Linked DNA regions of Macaca fascicularis. The protein of the gene in region 1 purifies or fractionates together with the protein of each later gene. This does not show direct contact. Links are inferred from orthologs where the notes say so. Each region holds a gene or a part of one and is shown in the gene's direction. Other genes may lie near its edges. The genes, in order: PNKP and XRCC4.

The links.
Region 2: the proteins of PNKP (region 1) and XRCC4 purify together in Homo sapiens (co-immunoprecipitation; 5 studies listed by BioGRID and IntAct, counting the BioPlex papers as one, with this or other methods). This does not show direct contact. The link is inferred for Macaca fascicularis from reciprocal best matches to the Homo sapiens genes PNKP and XRCC4.

Annotation. Positions count from the first base shown.
Region 1 is NC_088393.1:57,844,111-57,848,312, reverse strand, and holds the end of PNKP (bifunctional polynucleotide phosphatase/kinase), read left to right. Parts: exon of another isoform or gene 1-148; coding exon 149-228; intron 229-306; exon of another isoform or gene 307-315; coding exon 316-373; exon of another isoform or gene 374-480; coding exon 481-588; exon of another isoform or gene 589-813; coding exon 814-885; exon of another isoform or gene 886-1,351; intron 1,352-1,839; coding exon 1,840-1,888; intron 1,889-1,969; coding exon 1,970-2,040; intron 2,041-2,114; coding exon 2,115-2,207; intron 2,208-2,302; coding exon 2,303-2,399; intron 2,400-2,472; coding exon 2,473-2,534; intron 2,535-2,693; coding exon 2,694-2,803; intron 2,804-2,884; coding exon 2,885-2,972; intron 2,973-3,090; coding exon 3,091-3,152; exon of another isoform or gene 3,153-3,235; coding exon 3,236-3,353; 3' UTR 3,354-3,397; downstream 3,398-4,202. UniProt on the Homo sapiens protein: Plays a key role in the repair of DNA damage, functioning as part of both the non-homologous end-joining (NHEJ) and base excision repair (BER) pathways.
Region 2 is NC_088380.1:87,128,052-87,131,863, forward strand, and holds part of XRCC4 (DNA repair protein XRCC4), read left to right. Parts: intron 1-1,922; coding exon 1,923-2,078; intron 2,079-3,182; coding exon 3,183-3,289; intron 3,290-3,812.

The DNA of each region.
Region 1 (4,202 bases):
CAGAGGCTTCACGGATGCTTGACATGGAGCTGTTCTGTGACTTGGTTTCCCCATCTGTGAGATGGCAGGGTTGGTGTGAGTCAGCCTATGAGTGGAGAGGGTCAGAGGTATCACAGTGCTGCTGTTCCTCTTTCCTTGGTGACACCAGGTGGCTGGCTTTGATCTGGACGGGACCCTCATCACCACACGCTCTGGGAAGGTCTTTCCCACTGGCCCCAGTGACTGGAGGTGATAAGAGGCAAAACAAGGGAGTGAGTGAGGCCTGGAGTCCACCTCTGGCCCCGGGTCACCCCTCCCGCTTCCTACCTGCCCTAGGATCTTGTACCCAGAGATTCCGCGTAAGCTCCGGGAGCTGGAAGCCGAGGGCTACAAGGTATGTGCAGCCGCCTGTCTGCATGGGCGCGTGCAGGTGGCGGTCCGACCTCAGGTCAGACCAAGGTCCTGGTGAGCAGGCGCCTCGTGACACTCTCTGCTCCCCAGCTGGTGATCTTCACCAACCAGATGAGCATCGGGCGCGGGAAGCTGCCAGCCGAAGAGTTCAAGGCCAAGGTGGAGGCTGTGGTGGAGAAGCTGGGGGTCCCCTTCCAGGTATGGCTGGAAGGGAGGCTGGGAGCTATGTGGGGTCACACAGATCTGGAGAGAGGGCTTCAGACTCCAGGATAAGTGGGGCAGAGGCCTCAGGCGGTGTGATGCTGATAAGAACCCATCATCAGCTACAAATTCTGTAGCTCTGCTTGGCTGGGTGAGGGCTGGGGTAGCATCCAGTAGGTGCTTGAGGAGGAGCTGAGGCTGGTGGCCCCCTCCCATCCACAGGTGCTGGTGGCCACGCACGCAGGCTTGTACCGGAAGCCAGTGACAGGCATGTGGGACCATCTGCAGGAGCAGGTGAGTCTCGCAGTCTGCCCGGCTTCCCTCCTTTTCCTCGCTCCAGCCCCTTACTCCTGGGCTCCCCGCTCTCCGGCCAGGTCCGGGCTTCCTTACTCCTCCTGTCCTCCCTCGGACCTGCCTTCTGTTTTTTTGCTGTCACATCTTAGATGTTGGTTTACGAGACCAATGTTCTTAAACTTTCTAAATCAGAGTAGTAGAGAGGGAAGCTGTTCATTCCTTCCTTCATTCGTTTGTGTGTGCATTTGTTCTGAAGTTTAGCACGTTCTTGAGCTGAAGATAGCGGTGAGCGGGACAGCCTGCTCCAGCGGGGCCCGCACGGCGAGGGCCGTGACTCTGGGCGGATGGGCAGACTGGCGTGTAAAACAGTGGGAGGGAGGGAGGTGGAGAAAGCAGGCATCGTTTCAGCTGTGGTGGGCACGGATGGCCTCTGAGGAGGTGACATCCGAGGAAAAGGCCTAAGACAGAGGAAGGAGGGAGCCACGTGGACACCTGGGGAAAGTGGTTCCCCCCCACAGGAGTGACAGCAAGTGCAAAGGCCCTGAGGCAGCCCCTAGCCTGGGCTAGTTAGGGACAGGGAGGCCCATGCGGCTGGCCCTAAGCGAGGGAGGGGAGAGGGCAGGGCCACAGGGAGGGCCCCGCTTTTGCCCTGAGGGAGGGGGAGCCTGGGAGGCGCTGGCCCCCAGGAGGCTGGAGCTGAGGCAGAGCGGGCGCCCTCTGGTGGCCGCGTGGGGAACCGGCGGAGGCGGAAGCCGGGAAGCCTGGAGGGAGGGGGCTGCGTGGAGAGACCACAGGGCCAGGAGCACGGTGCAAAGTGGCTGGATGGTGGGGACATGAAAAGTTGGAGGATGAGGCCTGATGCGCGGCATAGACCAGGCGAAGCAGCCCCAGGGACCCGCTACTGCTGCGGCGGGACAGTTATGGGAAGGGCCTCCTCACTGCCATCTCCTGCAGGCCAACGAGGGCGCGCCCATCTCCATCCGGGACAGCATCTTTGTGGGAGGTAAGGGCCTGGAGGCTGCTGAGGGTGGGCTGGGACCCCTCCCTCCGAGCTGGTGGGGACAGTGTGTCCCGTGTGTTCCAGACGCAGCCGGACGCCCGGCCAACTGGGCCCCAGGGCGGAAGAAGAAAGACTTCTCCTGCGCAGATCGCTTGGTGAGGCCCCTGCCCGCTGCCCCGCGCCCGAGCCCGACCCGGGCCTGTGTCTGATGTCCGTTCTCAACCCCTAGTTTGCCCTCAACCTTGGCCTGCCCTTCGCCACGCCTGAGGAGTTCTTCCTGAAGTGGCCAGCAGCCGGCTTTGAGCTCCCAGCCTTTGACCCGGTGAGGCCCTGGGGTGGGGGTGGGGGTGGGGGTGGGAGCGGGAGGGCTCCCGGAGACGGGGACAGCGTCTCACGCGTGTGCCCCTCCCCTCGCAGAGGACTCTCTCCCGCTCAGGACCTCTCTGCCTCCCCGAGTCCAGGGCCCTCCTGAGCTCCAGCCCGGAGGTGGTTGTCGCTGTGGGATTCCCTGGGGGTGAGTGCCCTGCCCCTGTGCCCTGAGCCCCTCCGGGGTCCTAGGCCACCCACCGACACTGCCCCCCACACAGCCGGGAAGTCCACCTTTCTCAAGAAGCACCTCGTGTCGGCCGGATACGTCCATGTGAACAGGGTATGACTAGGCTTTGGCCGCCCCGAATCTATTCAGTTCCCATCTCCACCGCTCAACTAGTTTGGGGCGGCTTCCCTCCATCACTGCCTCCCCGACCCCGCTCTGGGTCTTCTCTCCCCTCGGGTCTCCGGATCCGTTTGTGACCTCTCGTGTCCCCAGGACACGCTAGGCTCCTGGCAGCGCTGTGTGACCGCGTGTGAGACAGCCCTGAAGCAAGGGAAACGGGTCGCCATCGACAACACAAACCCGGACTCCGCGAGCCGCGCCAGGTAGCGGGGAGCCTGCGATAGGGTGGGCGGGGCCTGCGGCGGGGTGGGCGGGGCCTGCACATCCAGCTCCTTCCCCCACAGGTACGTCCAGTGCGCCCGAGCCGCGGGCTTTCCCTGCCGCTGCTTCCTCTTCACCGCCACTCTGGAGCAGGCGCGCCACAACAACCGGGTGAGCCCGCTAGGCCCGGTCACCCCCCGGGGATGCACCCCGACCCCCCTCCTCACCCCCAGGTGCCCCCTCCCTCCCCTGACCCCTGGGCCTTTCGCCCCTTCTGATATCCCCACAGTTTCGAGAGATGACGGACTCCTCTCATGTCCCCGTATCAGACATGGTCATGTATGGCTACAGGTACTGTTGGGGACGGCAGGGGGGAGGGGCAATGGCGGGGCCACATGAGCCAGGCTGTCCCTCACTGTTCCCACCACTGCCAGGAAGCAGTTCGAGGCCCCGACGCTGGCCGAAGGCTTCTCTGCCATCCTGGAGATCCCGTTCCGGCTGTGCCTGGAGCCGAGGCTGGAGCGGCTGTACTGCCAGTTCTCCGAGGGCTGAGCCCCGCCCAGCTCCCCTACACAATAAATGTCGTTTCTCCTTGAGCTTGGCCGGCATTTTGCTGGGAGGAGGGGCTCCAGGCCTGGCAGTTTTTTACATGGATGGAGGCTTTAGGGACATTTTCCGGTAACAGAAGGTGGGGTCTTACAGAAGGGATTCCAGCTTTGCTGGGACCTGGCATGGGCATGTTAGACATTAGCCAGGGAACGCACAGGGCAGGGCGCTGCCTGGCTGCCTGAGAGCCAGCTGGTGAGCCCACAAGCCCCAACCCAGGGGCTCGCTCAAGGCCAGGTGTGACCCCTGAACTTGAACCCAGGGCCTGTGGATCTGGAGATTGCTGGGGAAGAGGGTGTGGGCAGCCGAGAGCCAGTGAGTTTGCAGGCTGTCCAGGCCTGCTGGGCCACCTTATGGCTAGGGGGCTGCCAGGCATGGGGCAGTGAGTAGAGGGGGCAGGCAGGTTTTTAAAAGGCTTTATTAGGGAAACGTAGAGGGGTGGGGACCATCCTTGGAGGCCTCAGGACACCATCCTCCATGTTGCTGGGCAGTTGAAGTCCCCAGGGGCCCCTGTTCAGAAGCATGTCACCTGGGGGCAGGGGTGCAGTGGGGGCTGCTGGCCACAAGCTCCCAAGCACTGACCCACATCCCTGTGGGCAGAGGCCCGGCCCCACCCAGGCCTGGACACTGCGCCTCCCATGGCCCTGCAGCCGGGATAGTTTCCCAGATAGCCTAGGACTGCCGTCTCTCCCTCTGCTCTGGTCGCCCCAAGGCCAAGGTCGCCCTGCTTCTTTCCCAACCGCACCCACGCCCCCCCCCATGCCCCAGGGTCCCTCCTGTACATGACAGGGTCAC
Region 2 (3,812 bases), on another chromosome or scaffold:
GGCTACACTGAAGAACTCAAATTGGCCATCACACTGACAGGACCAGTAATGTTCATATGGAATACCTATAAGAAGGAGAAAGCCAGAGTCATCACCAAGAGGAAGAGAACTTCAAGACTGCCACATCAGACTGGGCGCAGTGGCTCATGCCTGTAATCCCAGAACTTTGGGAGGCTGAGGCGGGCGGATCACGAGTTCAGGAGTTCGAGACCAGTCTGACCAACATGGTGAAACCCTGTCTCTACTAAAAATACAAAAATTTGCCGGGCATGGTGGCGGGCGCCTGTCATCCCAGCTACTCAGGAGGCTGAGGCAGGCGAATTGCTTAAAACCAGAAGGCGGAGGTTGCAGTGAGCCGAGATCGTGCCACTGCACTCCAGCCTGGGCAACAAGAGTGAAACTCTGTCTCAAAACAAAACACAAAACAAAACAAAAACCTGCCATATCAATGCCTGGCTCTTTGGCCTCTGGGCAAAAAGGACCAAGGAAGCTGCAGAATAGGATGTTGAAGAGAAAAAATAAAGCACTGTTGAGGCCTTGTAATAAATCAGCAGTAAACCTGGGAAAACAAATAAACCAAAAAGATGTCCATATTAATTTCCTCACTTTATTCGTTTGTCTGATAAGAACCTACCAAACCTCTGTAGAATGCTAAACACTATGCTGGGCACTGAGGATACCATGGCCAGTAAAACACACATGCTCTCTGCTTTCCTGGAGTTCACATCCTTGGCAAAGACTATGCTATAAGAATTTGCTGAAATTGGTCCCAGAGAATATATTGCCATATTTTCCTTTTTATCCTATGAGAGGTTTGAATTCTTTGCATCTCTAGATAGGTAGATTGTTGAAAGTTTAAGGGTGTGTATATAAAAGGTATCTAATTTGGACATTTGTGTTTCTAATTTCACTGAAATATATATGTGTGTGTCTGTATATGTACACACATATATGTTACTACTGGTATATATGTGTGTGTGTGTTTATGTACAGCATAAAAATACTAGGATACTTGTATATTGAACAACAACAATGTAAATAAGCAGTATAAAACGACATTGAAAAGAATACATAAAATAATTTGTATTTGAATCTCTAAAATAAGAATGTATTCATCATGTATGCGTGTGCACATTTTAAGTATATACAACCTCAGCTATTTTGCTTTCTTTACTTTATATCTCTCTTGGGAGCTTAAAATAAATACAATCCCCTGTTAGCTCATTGAGAAGTGTAGGACGAATTATAAACAATAGAGAATTTTATGTTTTGTCTCAGGTATCTACATTTGAAGATACGTAGTGTTTTACATTTGCTGTTTTATTAATCTCTCCTTGGATATATCAAGTAGAATACTTTCATTGTATATGTGTATTGTGTTTCTATATGTATTTGTATGTGTGTGTGTGTGGTGCTCGCTTATAAGAATATAACTGGATAAGTCGTGTTCTTGTTGTAGAGCAGTTCATTGTCTAGTAGAGCAGTCAAGACAAATTAGCTGTATTGCCTTATCACAAAACAAGATTGTAGTTGCTTTTATAGTAATATTAACATAGTACTGAGGAAACACAGGCTACATTTACTCTTGTTTGAAATTTATCCCATAAAAACATTCTTTTGTAAATAAACCATAGATGTCAATAAATTATTATCTTTAGGCATTTTGATTTTCTAAAGGCTAATTTGTATCAATTTTCAATTTTGATCCTTATCTCAGTACATGAATTACATGAATAACAATAATTTCTAATTGTGTATTTAACCATCTTTATAAAACTTTTAAGTCAGTGAAAGCATATGTGAAAATAATCTTTAATTGTATTTTCTTTGAAAAATTTTATTGAAATCTTCTTGATTATTAGATTGAATTATGTTAATGGTAAGCAGAACTGCATGACTAATTTGTTTACTTACTTTTTCAGATTTGAAAAATGTGTGAACGCTAAGGAAGCTTTGGAGACTGATCTTTATAAGCGGTTTATTCTGGTGTTGAATGAGAAGAAAACAAAAATCAGAAGTTTGCATAATAAATTATTAAATACAGCTCAAGAACAAGAAAAGGACATCAAACAAGAAGGGTATTTTGGCTATCTAGTTTTTGGATGACAGATGTATAAATTTAAGTGGAATTTCTTCCCAAAGTTAATGAACATTAGGTGCCAACTTTTTGGTCATATGAGATAATTTGGTAGACTGGATGTGGATGCTCAGGCTGTTAGACGGGTGCCATGGGCTAGAGAGTTCTCAGCATGCTCGCTCCATGTCTGCTCAACTGTCTCACCTACACTTAAATTTAAAAATTGACATGAGGCTTATTAAAGTATTATTTAATTCTTAGACATTAGTAAGAAATATTAATTTAAAAACCCTTTCATCTGCAGAACTACAAAGTTGGATGCATATTTGTAATCTTGATGTCTAGGCAATAGTTAACTTTTGAATCAAGTTGTTAATATTAAATTCCAGGGAGCATTTATTTTACCTGATTACAGTGTGATTACCAATCTTATTCTTCTTTAACGTTTTCTCTGAGAGTAGATATGTACTTGATTTTTATGGAAGAATCGTAAGTGACAAATGGCTGATATGGGTTTCAACGATTATAACTTTTTTACACATTAGCAAATACACGTTAGGGTCTATTGCTTTGAATCTTAGTAAAAGTGCAGAATTACTAGTGACATAGTATAAAAAAATTTGATATCAGCTAGTCCTAGTACAGGTACTGGTCTTGCAGTCATACCTATTAGTTTATAGCTTTGGACACATCACTTTTTTTTCATAATAAAGGTAAAGATACCCATCTTAGGACTTTGCAGAGATCAAATGAAATAAGGAACTGCTCTGAGATTAGTAAAATGTTAAATACCCTGTGACTCACAGAGATAATTTGGTAGAAAAAAGTATTTTGATAGAAGAATAGTACCTGATAAGAAACTGATTTAATATTAATTATAATGAGTACTAAATTCAGATTAAAATTGGGTAAAAGAGAAACTTGTTCTTAAGAGAGTTAATATATAGGTTTTAAGATGCTTTCATCTAAGTCATATAAATTTTCAATATGTTTGTCTAATTAGAATCTTTTTCCAGAAATATTTTCTATAATTACTTACTGGTAAATTTGCTGCCTAGCAGGGGGTGAGCCAATGATTTATAATTCTACCTGTCTCTGTTTCTAGGGAAACTACAATCTGTTCTGAAATGACAGCTGACCGAGATCCAGTCTATGATGAGAGTACTGATGAGGAAAATGAAAACCAACCTGATCCCTCTGGGTCGGCTTCAGGTAAGAGAGATATAAATTTATCTCCTTTGTTGAATATCTCACTTGGGCTTCTTACTCTAATGACAAGAAACCATAATGGAAAAATGGTGTGAAAAACCTTATTCTATGAAAATTCTTTAGCATTTTTATTTTAAAGACTCAAATTTTTAATGTTAAAACTTAATATTATTTGTAAAATGCAGCAACTCGTTAGCACAGCAATGTGAGCCAGCATTCATACACATATACTCCAAGGTATACTATTCCTGGTTAAATATAACCAGGAAAAGCATAAGCAATGAGGAAGATACACCTTTATGCTAAATATCTTCAGCTTAAAGCTGGTTGCCTTTAAGATTTGAGATTTTATTTAGCTAAAGCCATCGATAGGCCACTGGAACAAAGTAATCAAGAATGCTCTAAATTATACGGAAGCTGAGGCCTTCTTTCACTCTTCAGAAAAAAGGATTACAACAAGTGAGATGTAGTAGAGGAAAAGAGAAGGGGAAAAATGGCAGTTTAGTTTGAAGTACCTATGACTTAG